2 linked regions of the Mytilus edulis genome follow. The protein of the gene in region 1 binds, or shares a complex with, the protein of each later gene. Links are inferred from orthologs where the notes say so. Each region holds a gene or a part of one and is shown in the gene's direction. Other genes may lie near its edges.

Region 1 (8,022 bases):
CAAAATATAAATAAAAAAACATACCATGACAGTCAGTTGTAAGAGCGCGAAAATAACGAACTTTTTCCACATTTCACCACAAGTCATAAATCCATCTAATATGTTTTAACAAAACTATGATCTCAAAGAATACTTTTGATATCTAGAACAAGTGTGAATCCCTTCCTGATCGTCTTTTTATCTACATAGGGGGTATTCTAGGGCTTTAAATTCTATTTTGTACAGGTTACAGTGTTGTCAATAAAGTAAACAAATGAACGATATATGTAAAACTATTTTACAGAGTACGACGTAAACTTGTAACGAAGGTTTTCATTGTTAAGTTGATGTGTTAACCCTGTCGGAACCTCTAATGTCTGATATGGATTTTTCAAAATATTAGGATAAGATAATTTCAAGTCCAATTTTTATCAAATGATAACCATAGTTGGGCATATAAATAAATCAAACGAAGAATGTACGTACACTATGATCGTATGTAATCGCTGATCAAAATTGGACAGTAATGTTGGATAGGTATTAAATGACTCCGCAAAATGTCGTCCTTATGTCGAACTGTTGTTACATCACTGTCCGAGGTTACAGGATTAGAGATGGCATCAGCAAAAAACTACACCACACTCTGTATGTGACTGTCTAGAGTCAGGAGTCTGTTATTCAGTGGTTTTCATTTGTTACTTGTTATGCCCCACCTACGATAGTAGAGGGGCATTATGTTTTCTGGTCTGTGCCTCCGTCCGTCTATGCGTCCGTTCGTCCGTTCGCTTCAGGTTAAAGTTTTTTTTCTTCAAATTCGAGTTTTGACCCCAATTTCACGGTCTACTGAACATAGAAAATGATAATGCGAGTGGGGCATCCGTGTACTATGGACACATTCTTGTTTTGTACATAAATCAGACCGGCGTTAGTTTTCTCGTTTGAATTGTTTTACATTTGTCATTTCGGCACCTTTTATAGCTCACTTTTTTCAATTCAAAAGCTTTATTTATAGTCGGCATGTTACATAACAAATAAACATAAGCTCTCTGAGCTTTTATGACCGACAATGATAATTTGCAGTGGCGGATCCGGGGGTTTCGGGGGTAAGAACCCCTTTTTTGGACGATCAATGCATTTGAATTGGTGTATGTAGTTGGACCCCCCCCTTTTTTTTTGCCCTTTTGTCCTGGGTTAGAAACCCCCTTTTTAAAATGGCTGGATCCGCCCCTGCTTTGCGATACGGAATTATTTTATTGTTGACGTATAATTGTTAACATCCACGTTATTGGGTCTATGGTATGAAGTTTCTTCTTGACAATCATCACCACATCTTTTTATTTTTTTTATTGGAAAATGATATAAAGAAAATATATTCAAGTTGAAATAATAATTATAGTGTCCATATACTATATGTCACAGTTATGTCAAACAAACAAGGCAAACAAATGCTGTTATTGGAGAATTTAAGCTGGATAAACAACAGATCGAAAAAGAATGGAAGACCACTACACAGGTAAATAATTTCTTGTTTAATAAGTCAAAAAATCACTATTCTAAGAATTTAGATATTTTTTTAGGCCATTTTTTTATGATCTTGAACAAAAACTTCCTTTATACCAGGATCACCGTATGACACAACAAATTGTTAAAAATTCATTTTATGGAATTAGACTTAAAAATGACATCCCAACAAAATGACTCTTCAATCACGTATTATTAGCTCGCATATTTCACTTTCATATTCGAATTAACGTATAAATCTTCCAATGCATGCATTCTATTAAAATTTAAAATACCAAATACTTTTGCTTTTACATATGCCCGCGTCACACTGTCCCGATTTTTACGCCGATGACAACACGATTATGGAAATTTTCAAAATCGGGACTGATCGTATCCAGATCGGGCTATTCGTAGTGCCATCTTTAACCATCGTAGAACCATCGGCCACTTTTTTTTAGCCTTCGGGGACAACTTCGGGAAGGGTTCTAAATTTTTTAACATGTTAAAAAATCCCCTAAGGTGCGTCCGATGTTGAGGGTTCGTATTGAGTTCGTATCACCATCCTCACCATCGTAATGTCACCGGGAATGCATCTTTGAACATCGTATTGCATTCGTGTTTCCATCGTTTCCATCGGGCAGTTTTGACATTACGATGTCTACACGAATGAATCACGAAGCTACCCGAAGGTCTTACGATGGCAACACGACTTCGTGAAGACCTCGTAATCCCGTCGTGTTGCCATCGAATAAAAGTACGAAGGCGACAAGATGGAACTACGACGGCAATAAATCCAGCTAAATGTAAGTTAATTTTTGCGCTAAAATACATTTAAAGTGCCATGCGCGATATGCACTGGTCAGTCTAATACGACAGTTAAGGAAGACGTTCACAAAACATGGAGCTCATATCATATGATACTATGAGAACAAGAAAGTCGACAGCGGCGTTGTTTCTATTAATTCAAACGGAACAAGAAGAGCAACTGTTACAGGCTCAGGATTTACAAGTAAAATATTATTTTTTGTCAATTTTTCATATCAAGTAACATAATGAAAATCATAAATGCGCCTCGTACACCAACACTGCAGGTACACGTATATAGGGAAACCAACTTTTTCTTCATTATTCTGATTTTTTATGTATCGACTGAGTTGTTGTCACAAGAATGTTTACTCCATAACCATTATGTTTCTATATGTCACATTTTGCCGCATTTGTTGCTTTCCCCACATCCTCCCTTTTGTCTATATTATTATGATATTCTCCTGGAAAGAGCTATTTTTGAATAAAAGGGATCAACGAACCCATTACCTTACCTTTAAGATAGATCAGTAAACATGGGCATAATTATGGGTGATTATTCAGACTAGTGCACACATTTTACAGTTCAAACAAGGCAATGCCGAGCGTGGCATCCCCTCGTATGTAACATATTGGGGACAAATATGGACACTATATTTGTATATGACACATACAGAAAATGGTAAATTGAATATGCATATTTATATATTCAATATTGATCAAACAATTTAAAACGCGTGATGCCGTAAATGCATTGTAAGCTGTACACGACGTCTTTTAGACATCGTATGGCCATCGCGCCATCATCGTAATCCATCGTGTAGCCTTCGTAATCCATCGTGTAGCCTTCGTGATCCATCGTGTAGGCTTCGGCTGAGATATGAAGCTTAAATACCCGTCTTCGGTTAACCTTCGTATGTCCATCTTTTGCTATCGTATATAATTTCGGCACCATCGTACAGACTTCGTTATTCATCGTACTTGCTTCAGTCACTTTTTGGTATTTTAACGAGATCGGGACCAACTTCGTACGAACTTACAATTTTCGCATTCGTGTGTCCATCGTATATAAAAATCGGGACAGTGTGACGCGGGCAATAGTGATATATCGATTTATCGGTAATTGGTCCTAACGGGCTCGTCTAGATATTCCACATGATATAGTCAGTATCAAAAACGAAACTACCTATTATTCTATTTGTAATACATAGTGAGATTCAGCATATCAAAGTACCCAAAGAGTTCATTATATTTTTTATGAAATCTAACCGAGTTTCATTTTCACCCATTTGAGCTCAGTGTCTACCAGTTTGATAACAGGGCCCAAATTCCAAAATCAATAGACACGGTTAGAGTCAGCTCTAAGGAATTAATTTTTTTGTTAGAATCAAACAAAGTTTTATTTTCAGACCCTTTGGAACCCTTTGGACCATTTGGGCCTTAATGTGGACCAATTTGAAAGCAGGTCCAATATTCAAAAGTCTAAATATACGGTTAGATAAGGCATATATATCAAAGATACACAATAATTCAAAATTCAAATGAGCCTCAGTTATTTAACAACGGGGCTCAAATTTCGAAATCTTTACACATAATTAGATTCAGCATATTAAAGATCTTTGAGAATTCAAAACCTTCAACTAGACCCCGAAGGACCAAGTGAGCTTTTCTCATCACTTTGCGTCCGTCGTCCGTCGTCGTTAACTTCTACAAAAATCTTCTCCTCTGAAACTACTAAGCCAGATTTAACCAAACTTAGCCACAATCATCATTGGGGTTTCTAGTTTAAAAAAATGTGTCCGGTGACCCGGCAAACCAATCAAGATGGCCGCCATGGCTAAAAATAGAACATATGGGGTAAAATGCAGTTTTTGGCTAATATCTCAAAAACCAAAGCATTTAGGGCAAATCTGACACAGGTAAATTTGTTTATCAGGTCAGGATCTATCTGCCCTGAAATTTTCAGATGAATCGGACAACCCGTTGCCCCTGGTTGGTGATTTAAAGGAAGTTTTGACGTTTTTGGTTATTATATCTTGAATATTATTATAGATAGAGATAAACTGTAAACAGCAAAAATGTACAGCAAAGAAAGACCTCAAAACAAGTCAAATATGACCAAAATGGTCAATTGACCCCCTAAGTAGTTATTCAGCCTTTATAGCCAATTTTTAACAATTTTCCGTTAAAATTTGTAAATTGTTACTAACATTTTCCACTGTTACTACAGGGCCAAGTTCATTATAGATACAGATAATTGTAAGCAGCAATAATGTTCAGTAAAGTAAGATCTATAAACACATCAACATCACCAAAACACAATTTTGTCATGAATCCATCTGTGTCCCTTGTTCAATATTCACATAGACCAAGGTGAGCGACACAGGCTCTTTAGAGCATCTACTGTAGTTTTATAAATGGTGCAAGTTAGCCTACCTTTATTAAGCAGAACTTTACTCACATTCATTACTTAACCGATATATCCGTCTTTCATTCACGGAGAATTTTATAGCGGGATTTAAGTCTTTTACATTAGTGGGACAGTTGATATTAAGCGAGTGAACTTTTGGGACGATATTGCAGTAGGACGAGTGTGGGTCATTCGTTAGGGAGATCAAAAAAAGATGTCTGCGCCCATGACGAAATGTAAAATATGAGAAAATAAACTTATTTATTAAAGATATGTCGTCCTCTGACAAAACAGATCTTTCAGCACCTATCAAAAGTGTTGAGGTAAGTTTTAGAACATGCGTAGTCTAGATATATTGATAATAGTTTTAAAAGCTATAGCTAAGACAGCAGCCGGCCTCTAACAGTCTAAATTATTAAAACACCGCTAGAAGTAAAAGGAGGACATTTGACCACAATTTGGCTCAAAGGAGTCTAATAAGAACTCAAAGGGTAAGGGACAAGACATCCATTTCATCCGAAAAATCAATTTGGTAAAATAAACGAAAACTCATGAGACAATGTAAAGCCAGTTCAGTACACAGATATTTGGGGCATGCACCCCCCTTTTCTTTTTCACTAAAAAAAGTTATCTACACTGTATCGACATATATAAAGTCTCAACAATCCATTACTAGTCGATTACAATACCTATTTTTACTATCCATACGAGCCCAAAGTGAAAAAAAAGGGGGATCCATGTGTGACAAAATATTTGTTCAGGCGTGTCAGACATTTGTTCCATCCGAAACAAATTTCATAGGAAATATGTTCCACCAGTATTTATATCACAGAAGCACTGTGAAACTTGTTCTGGAACTAATTTTTTTATCAAATGTGAAATAAGTCATTTGTTGTTTACAAGTTCCAGAACAAAAATCACAGCTCTATGAATTTTGTTCCAATAATATGAGGCAGGCATAACCTGTGAATGGGGAAGAAGTCTGTATGTATTAATTTTTTGAATTCAATCCCGTTGATAAAAGAAACCGAAATACCGTACGTAGACGTTCCCGATTTTGATTCTGTTGTTAGGGAATTAGCTGTGACGTTCTTTAAGTTATGACGTCATATTCGATGTAAACAAAAGAAATGGTTCATCAGGTAACGTTTTTTCATATCAAACAATTATTAAAATTGAATTTGTATTGAGATCCAATCTTATATTTTACTAGACTGATAAATATAAATTTTTTCAAAGTCTCATGCAAACAAGACAGATATCTGTGCAAAAGCGGAGAAAACTTGAACAGGAAGTAGATCTGACAAAAAAAAGTTAACGATTTTGAGTTCATTAGTAGAATGAAAAATTCGGGAAATTTTCCCGATTTTTTTTTTTTTTTATTGATTTTTCTACCGTAATTGGGGACTTCGTCCCCATAATATGAGGCAGGCATAACCTGTGAATGTGGACAAAGTCTGTATGTATTATTTTCTTACCTCAAACATGTTAATAAAGGAAACGGAAATACCGTAACGTTCCCGATTTCGGTTCTGTGGTTAGGGATTTAGCTGTGACGTTGTTTAAATTATGACGTCATATTCAATGTAAACAAAAGAAACGCTTCCATCAGGTAACGTTTTTTTCAAATCAAACAATTATTTAAAATGAAATTGTATTGAGTTCCAATCTTATATTTTACTAGACTGATACATGAGCCAGTCCATGCGAAAAGGTACAAAAAGTCCTTTTGGTAAACTTTACAGGACACGTTATCAAAGTTTGTTATAGTATTTTTGAAAAACGATTTTATCCGAAAAAAAATTACATTAATGTAAACATTCATAAGATTGTCAATTCTATCCCGAATTTGTCAACTAAAACCGAAAAAGACGTAGAAATATCTGAATTTTTGGTATTTGAGCAAGTGTAAAATCATTTGTTCCCCGGACTAATGCTATACCGACCAGAAACTACAAAAAATTATGACACTTCAGAGACAAAAGTCAATAATTTCCGTCAGTTCTACAGGTTTAAAGAAAGAAAGACAACATTAAAACATGAGGGAAAATGCAAAAACTATGACATCTTGTGTTTTAGAAATTGAAATTTAAGTTAAGTTAAGTTATTTAATATTATATAAATCAACCTTAGTTGCACGGGATTCGAACCGTTGCCCGGTTTGATTGCATTGTTATCCGCATCGTAAGCGAGAGCCTTATCCCCACTGCTACCAGGTTTAACATTATCAATTGGCAAATCAAGCCATTTAAACTGTACTTTGAAAATGATTGAAATATATGAAATAATTCACTAAAAATCTTGATAAAACTAGGGGGGGGGGGGTCTCAACACTCGCAGGTGCGTGTAGCTCACAGCTTGATGATATGAGGGAAAGTAAATGTGTTTTATAAATCACAAGTCTACTACCAATAATTATGCACACTTTTTAGAATTTCGTAAATTTTTCGTTTTTGTACCTGTTCACATGGACTGGCTCACATATAATTTTCTTTTCAAAGTCTCATGCAAACAAGACAGATTTCTGCGCAAATGCGGGGAAAACCGGAACAGGGACTAGATCTGAAATAAAAAGTTAACGATTTTGAGTTCATTAGTAGAATGAAAAATTCGGGAAATTTTCCCGATTTTTTTTCATTTTTTTTTTTTATTGATTTTTCTACCGTAATTGGGGACTTCGTAAAAATAAGAAAAAAGAGGGAAATAAGTCCCTGTGATATTAGTTTTGAATGAAGATATTTCATAGAAATAAATAAATAAGTCCTGCTCAAACCTTTTTCACAGAAAATAAATACCTTTCAGCAGTCTGCACGGTTAGCCACTAGTCCGATGCCCCAGACTAGTAAAATTTCATTTGGACTAGTGAGTTTTTGCAAAACTTTGTTTGGCCAAATAAGAAAAATGTCAGAATATTGGTCTTCGGACTAGTAGTTGAAAAAGTTTTTGGTGCAGACTGCCTTTGCAACAGTGAAATATTTTCTTGTAACACTTAAAACGTTATAATGCAAAATGGATGCTGTACTGTGCTTGCATTGAGTACATTTGCAATTGAAGGAATGATTTGACTGTAGGATGAGAAATAAAAGCGATGGCAGTGTATCATAATTTGTATAAATTTATGTTTATGTTGTATTCAACCTCTGTCACATGTCTGAGTTTCCTAGCTGTATACTTTTTTTCAGAATGATTTTTCTCATTCTACTCTTTTTTAGCTTATTAGTGACATTTTGGGTATTTTTATTCTAAAAATATTTGCTTTACTCCACAGGATCGAAATTGAATAACTTGTTTTCACTTTTTATTTTAATATTACATCATCAAATTGA
Region 2 (7,662 bases), on another chromosome or scaffold:
CCCGGGTAACGGGTAATGGGAATCCTAGAACACTGTCATACATGTATAAAAATTTGCAATGATCAAACATTTCATAGATTATTACACAGAAACGACATAAAAGTGAAATTTAAAAATCTATCAACGACAATAACTCCTGAGTGATAAAAGTGAAATGCATTAATGTTGAACCTGACCTCCATTTTGTAATCACTAACAAAAAATTTTCAAAATTTTGAAAAGCACTGGTTGAACAGTTCTTAAGTTATTGCACAGAACCAACATAAATTGTCATTTTCCAATCTATCAAGGACCATTACTCCTGAACTATAAAAGGGTAAAGTGTCAATATCAAATGATTTGAAAGTTTTTGCATAGAAACTGTTGGCAGCCTCGTGTCCTAACACCAATTTGATAACCACATTTTTTTTCTTCGTAAAACCTTATTTTAAATGTGAAGAAACAAATTTGATTGAGTAACCACGACCTTTTAAATTCTAATATTTTTATCCTCGGATACACATTCACTGGAGTAAAGCTGATGACTGTAATACGATCACGGTCATCTCAAGATAATGGATGAAAAATTGGGTCAGTATCTGTATTGTCTATTTAGAAAGTGTTTCCATATTATTTCTATACAACGCACACATTGGTATGACGTAAATTTATACAAGATTCACAAGGAAATCATAAATTACTACAGAGAAATGTGTATGAAACAGGAAATTTCTAAACCAACAACTTTAACCTGAAGCGGGACAGATGGACACATCAACCCCAAAATGTAACGCCCCTAGGTAGGGCATAAAAGCAACAGTTAAATATTTGGTGTGGTGACTCCCCATTACAAATGGCATTCTTCCTATTTTCCTTAAAAAGCAAAAATATGTATAATGAATTAACTAAAATTTTGAAATTCCATTTGGCTTAACAATTACATTCAATAGAAGGAAACTATTTTTTTCATATGTCTACAGAATATGAATCTTTTTATATATAAAATATAAGCTGACAAAGCCTACAATTTATCATGCCCTCAAAAATTCTTACAACTATAACTATTTCCCTTTCTGGACTGGAAGGTCTTGATCCTGGACCAGATCCTAATTTACTGGCAGCTTCTTTCTTGGGAGTTTTCTGGTCTTTCCTTGGTGGTTCTAACTTGTTCATGTCCATCCTTTCCTCGGGAACCCATTCGTCCAAACGTTTGTTGACTAAAAATAAACAAAGAATAGAGGATCGTCATATAACTGTTTTAACAATAATTCGTTTATTAAATACACAATAGAGGCAAGGAAAATAGACCGATTGTAATTTCAACCAACTAATTAATACAAACAAAATTTAGGTTCTGCAGTTTGTTTTGAACTTGTAAATTATGTTGTCACTTTAATATTAGATTATCATATAGGTATCAAATAATAACAACCTCCTTCAGTCAAGGGACACTATGACAATGCAACTGAGACAGTTAGATACGATAAGAAAAGACAATTCCCAAAAGGTAATTACTGTAGAAACATTCATTTTCGTGGGGTCAAAATTTCATGGTTTCCATTAAATGGAAGTGTTATATTATATGAAGTTTAAATTTTGCGGGGTTTTTAATTTCGCTGATATATTATTTCAAGAAATAAACGAATTAAATCCTTAACGAAAATTTCTACTTTTACAGTAGTAAAACCTCATTGTTCTGTTGTTGCTGGTGTTCAGTTATGTACTCAAATTTACGACCATGTCATATGTAGCACATGTACAAACATATGCCAAAGTGAATCACTCATGATCACCATCAAGACTGACTTTTAATTGAATAACCTTCCGTGTACTGCAAATATACTTACAATCTTCATAATGAATATAGAACATGTGCTTTCCATTGACTTCTTTCTTTCCAAGTATCTCAGCAAAGTCTATAAAATATGTAAAAATCTTTATAAAGTTCAATGCAACACCAAAATGTTTTTATACTACTGTTAGATTTCTCCCTTATGGACAAATAAAGCCAAAATAAACAATAGGATTCTACATGAAGGAAAAAATTATTTAAGGATAGATATTAGAAAACTCATTTTTCAATTTCCTATAAGGTGAACATAACAAACAGAGCTCAAAATGGTTACATATAGACCTAATGACCCTTTTTAGTGTTCAGCTGAATTTTCCACGAATGACCCTATATCTATCTTTAAATAATTTTCTGATGTCTTGCAACAATTTCAATTGTTTTTTTTAGGAAGTCAAATTTTTGCAGAATTTTTTATGGTTTTTAGAAATGGTGCACAAATATACATGCAGATGTAAATAAAATTGTCATGGGGCATTAAAGTCAGATCATGTTTTCGTAGGACATAATATAAATTCGTACTATGCATACTTTTTCAATGAAATATGTGACGTCATTATCGTGAAGCAATTATATAAGTTGTCCTAAAAAATTACCAATATAAGAGTGATTTATTTAATTTGAAGTGTTTAATAATGGTTAGTGAAATAAGCAAATACTGGGATTGTATCAGCACCATTTTTGTATTATATTATATTTGTATTAATACCTCATTTGCATTCTGTACCCTTCTGTGATGAAATCAATGTGATTATAACAAATTTGAAGTGACTTAGTTTGAACGATATTTTATTGATTTTCACAAAAATAACTTGTCATCATAAAATCAGCTATAATTAGGGCAAGTCATCATATCATCTATACCAGGGTTCATACGCCTCTTCTGTTCCATTTTTCCATGACTTTTCCATGACTTTTCAAGGATGTTTTATGAAAATTCCATACCCAAAAAAACAGGAAACCAAAGGGTAATATATAAATTCTTTGAAAGAGGATGAACTACACATCAGTATAAGTGTTTATTCAAGTTTTGAAATATTTGAATCAATTGAATAATGTAGTAAAATGTTGAAACTTTTCAGTTAAGTTGAGTGTTGGATGTGTTTTGAGCTCTTACAGTGGCTTTTCAATGCAGATTCTCCGTTGTTTTTTTACACCAGCCATTGTTTGTACTTTGCCTCTCTGGGTTTTCCAACCATTTAAACTGAAAATGGCAGTAACCAGGCATTTTTCTCTTGAATCAACTGATCATTGACTAGACATTTTTAAAAATATTCGACAACTGGTATCTTATACTGATAATGTTATTGAATGAAGCAAACTGCAACAATTTTTGACATACAGGGAACCAGTTTCAGTCATATACATGTAGTTTTACCAAAAATTATGAAGAAGCGAATTTTGAAATCCTCATTTTACATTTACCAAGACTGGCTATCAAACTGGGACATTGTTTGTAGCTCTATTGAGGAAACAGTTTTGACAAAAACTATGAAAAATATTTATAGACACCTAATAAAGTTTACAGTTCAAACAATAATAACTTTCCACGACTGTTCACTAAAATATAGCTTTCCATGACTTTTAAAGGCCTTTTCCCCCAAAAAATAAAAATCCATGACTTTTCCAGGATTCAAGGACCCATACAGACCCTGCTATACACCTTATCGCTATTTGTCTGCCATTCCTCAATCCTGGACATCACACAGGTTCCAGTAATATGTGATAAAATAAATTAAATCAAAATTTTAAAAAATCAGGAAATTTACCAAAATTTTCATTCTACTAATGAGCTCAAAATTATTTTCAGACTTTTTTAAATTCCTGCATTTGCTCAGAAATCTACTTTCTTTACCGGTCTAGTTGTCAGGTGAATTTGATGATAGCGTTTCTTTGTTTCTTTTTTAACATTGAATATGACGTCATAACATAAAAAACATCAGAACCAAAATCTGAAACGTTACGACAAAAAAAAATATGCATACAGATTTCGTCCGTTTCACAGGTAATGCCTGCCTCATATTCTTTTGATGTCTTAATACAAAATATCTGATACCACAATGGAAAAGTGATTGTTATATAACGTCAATAGTTAAAGCTGGACAGATTCTCGGGTCAGCCTGGATTAGCAATGAGGTGTATACAGCTTTACTAGAATGATGGATAATCTGAGAAAAAAATGGTCACATAAATCAGAATCATTTCCATGTCATTACGGAAGGATCTGGTTTCAAAACTATATTTTTTAAACAGACAAAGCATAAATATTTTAATAACTGTAATGCATTAAATATTTGCACACATTTGAATGTTCCATATTATGACCCCATTGTGTGTTTACATGATTTGATTGTCTCCCTTAGCATAACTTACGCCATCCATCGCCATTCTTCAATAAAACTGGCACTCTACACCCTTCTACTATTTCAGTCTGAAAAATATAAATAAAAATAATTTCAAAGATATAACTTGACATGACAAAATAGGTCAAAATAAGGGTTAAAGGCTTCAAAATTGAAAAAATATAAGGGACCTGCACTTCCGTCATCACGGTCATATTGTAGCTCTGCATTGAATGCACAAAACAATTTTTACGCATGGCTTCCTTTAAAAAAAATAAAAGTAATAATTGTAATAATGAAATAAATATTTATACCTTCATTCGATTGTTTTTATTGACAAATTTTCATTTTATTAAAAGTTAAAACAAGTTTAAGTTAGAATTATTGCGTGCGAGTCTAGAATTACACACAACTTCCTGTTTGTACTTTCACTTTGTCCACATGCCTTTCGACTTATTATTTTTGATTTTCGTACATAAATAAAAGACCAAGTTATGGCTTCAGCTGTGGGTGTGAAGGAAGAACCGGCTGAAACTTTGGATTTTGAAAACAGGTTAAATTTTGCCTAAAATCTTTAAAATGAAATCAGTTTTTATAAGCTTGCATTAAAGTTGAAAGTTGCATAGACCAAGGATTTGTATAGTCAGATCTTACTTTACAAATCCTTACATAGATCATAGTATAGCCATGAGGGTAGTAATGCCCTTTAACGTCAGGCTTCTGTAACCCTAGAGCATAAATTTTATTACAAAATTGCTCGTCTCCACCTGGATTCAAACCCAGGACGTGTTACTAGCCATCGTGTTAACCGACTGAGCTAAAGAAGTAGTTCCCTAGCTCAACCACTTACGGCTGACTAAGTATCTACTAAGTTTTCTAAGGGAAGCAATCCCGTCACACTTCCCACACCTCAAGAGTCATTATACTCTATAATGATGATATCTTCATCTTTTTTATATTTATTTTTTACCTGACTAGGTATTTCTTCTAACCGTGGGTTTTTATTGTTGGGCGCCAATGTAACAGGAGAGCATGAATTTCATTACAAAATTGCTTGTCTCCACCAGGACTCAAACCCTGGACCTCTGTGTTACTAGCCAGCGTGTTAACCGACTGAGCTCAAGAAGTACTTCCCTAGCTCAACTGCTTACGGCTGACTAAGTATCTACTAAGTTTTCTAAGGGAAGCAATCCCGTCACACTTCAAACAGTAATTTTTGGATACAGTTAGCATCAAATTGTGTTTAGATTTTTACCGCCGTTTGTCAAAATACCCTTATTGTGATTCAGTGTGATTCGTCAGAGGTTTCAAATAATTATTGTTACCTTCATTTTTGTAAAAAAATTAACGTGATTTTGTAAAGCAAAATTATATCCGGGTGAAATTTGATCCCGAGGAAAAAATGTCACAGTAGTTGTTGTTGTTTTTTTATCCGGAGGAAAATATTTCCCTGGGAAATTTTTTCCTTTGCCGTGAAATTATATCCGGGTAGTTAAAAAAATGAATAGTTATTAAAAAACTTAATTATTGACAAATACTGTGATATAACAAAAGTATATTTGAATATAATGCTAAATTGGATAAAAAAATGTGAATTTTAAAGCGAAAATATTTCACAGATTATCATTGAAAATAATATCCTGAAATATTCAAGACGTAAAAATATTTCTTATGAAAAAGATAATTATCATGAAACATATGAAAGAAAACCAGAAGTAATTTTAAAGATCTTTATTGTGAAATATCATCATGATTAATTTAATATACATAAAATAAGATAAGTGAAATTCAGGTAAAAGTGAGTTGTTTTCAGATTTCAGGACTAATATAAAATTAAAGGTCATTACTACTGTAAACAGTGAGTAGCAATGGAAGGATCAGAATACGATGGTCTTCTCTATACTCATGTACCTTAGCATCTAAGAAAAATAACTCAACTACAAACTTAAGTTTGTTGACTAGCTCGCTGCGTATATTTTGTTGACTAGCTCGCTGCGTATATCTTTTCTGAGCTGCCGCTTTATTACAATACAGCAATATTATAACAACATAACATATATACAAAATACTATTTGCCATCATCTTCCAAATTATCAATATTCAAAACACACAAAGTACTGTTTCGTGGCCGATCAGGAAAAACCTTTTGGAAACCTGCGTCCTTTTGTCAATGCCAAGCGAAACTAAGTGTTGGACCGCACTCATATAACATAAATGTTCATGTACCAAAAAATGCTCAATCTAACTTAATAAAAGGGAGTTTTAGTCCGAAGACTACGGCTATAAAAAATTTATAAGACAACATACAATCCAAATCCGATTACGTCTATATAGCCATACCATATATATATAAACTATATATAACAGACCATTAACAATTAACAATTGTCAAATTGAGCATTCTTTATGCTTATATGAAAAAATTTGATGTACACAGTACGAACGCAAGGCTAGAAATGATACTCATATAACTATCTATTTACCACTACAATTTTTGGCGCCAAAAATTCCTACGCCTCGGAAATACCTTACCGAGAAGACAATAAATTCACGCTTTACTGCGTGCCGCGGGAATTATCTAATATATTAAACTATGCATTAATCGTCCAAAAATACCCTGGGTTTCAACCCCCAGAATCCTCCCATGATCCGACACTGGATTTGCCTACCTAAAATATATGTCATTTACAAAAAGTCTGCATTGTTAAAAAAGGGTTTCCACAATATAATTTATAAAAACCATTTAAATTGGTCAAAATTACCTCCCTTTGATTGATGAAATATGCAAATTTTGTTTACCTTTGTGATATATTTGTAATTATTGTCAGGTATATATTGATTGCGAGTAACTTACATAGTAGTCAGCGGGATTCTATTTCACAAGGTTCTGTGAAATATAGAACGGAAAATATTTACCGGTTCATACTATCCGCATAACACAGATATATTTTCACTCCTAAGGAAAAATCAAACCTGTGAAATTCCATGTCTGGAAAAAATTGACCGGGTCAAATTATCCTCAGGATAAAATATCACGGAGGAAGAAATAAACCGTTACAATTTCGTCAAAATTAGTCTTTATCATCTTAAAGTTAAGTGTACATTTTATCATCATACAAAATTTTCACCAAAAATTACAGTTAAGGATGTACACCTCTGACATTGTCTAAGGAGTAAAAAATGTCTAGAATTAAACTTTTTTTCTTAACCTGATCTTTGGGTTTATATGACTAACAAAATAATTGGTGAAGAAAAAATCATATGATGGTGCACTTCTTTTTTTGCTACGGCCCTTTGAAAATGCCTTATTTTGATGATTTTCCCATTTTTCATTGTTTTTTATCTATTTTTGGGCTATTATCGTGAAAAAAATCACAGTTCCAAAATTAAACTTTTTTTCATACTTTCTTTAAAGATGAAGTGGACCAATCTGAATAAATTTTACTTGAAAAACTATAGGTAGGTGTTAATATAAGAAAGTTTTATCATATT

What was found.
Region 2: DNA-directed RNA polymerase III subunit RPC2-like (region 1) and DNA-directed RNA polymerase III subunit RPC6-like share a complex: the UniProt entries of both Drosophila melanogaster proteins name them as parts of the RNA polymerase III (Pol III) complex. The link is inferred for Mytilus edulis from reciprocal best matches to the Drosophila melanogaster genes Polr3B and Polr3F.

The regions. Positions count from the first base shown.
Region 1 is NC_092353.1:3,000,038-3,008,059, forward strand, and holds the start of DNA-directed RNA polymerase III subunit RPC2-like, read left to right. Parts: upstream 1-4,886; 5' UTR 4,887-4,968; coding exon 4,969-5,019; intron 5,020-8,022. UniProt on the Drosophila melanogaster protein: DNA-dependent RNA polymerase catalyzes the transcription of DNA into RNA using the four ribonucleoside triphosphates as substrates. Second largest core component of RNA polymerase III which synthesizes small RNAs, such as 5S rRNA and tRNAs.
Region 2 is NC_092346.1:17,924,266-17,931,927, forward strand, and holds the start of DNA-directed RNA polymerase III subunit RPC6-like, read left to right. Parts: upstream 1-4,577; 5' UTR 4,578-4,664; coding exon 4,665-4,723; intron 4,724-7,662. Other genes in the region: histone acetyltransferase KAT5-like, read right to left, coding at 1,033-1,196, 1,827-1,895, 4,202-4,259, 4,362-4,400. UniProt on the Drosophila melanogaster protein: DNA-dependent RNA polymerase catalyzes the transcription of DNA into RNA using the four ribonucleoside triphosphates as substrates. Specific peripheric component of RNA polymerase III which synthesizes small RNAs, such as 5S rRNA and tRNAs.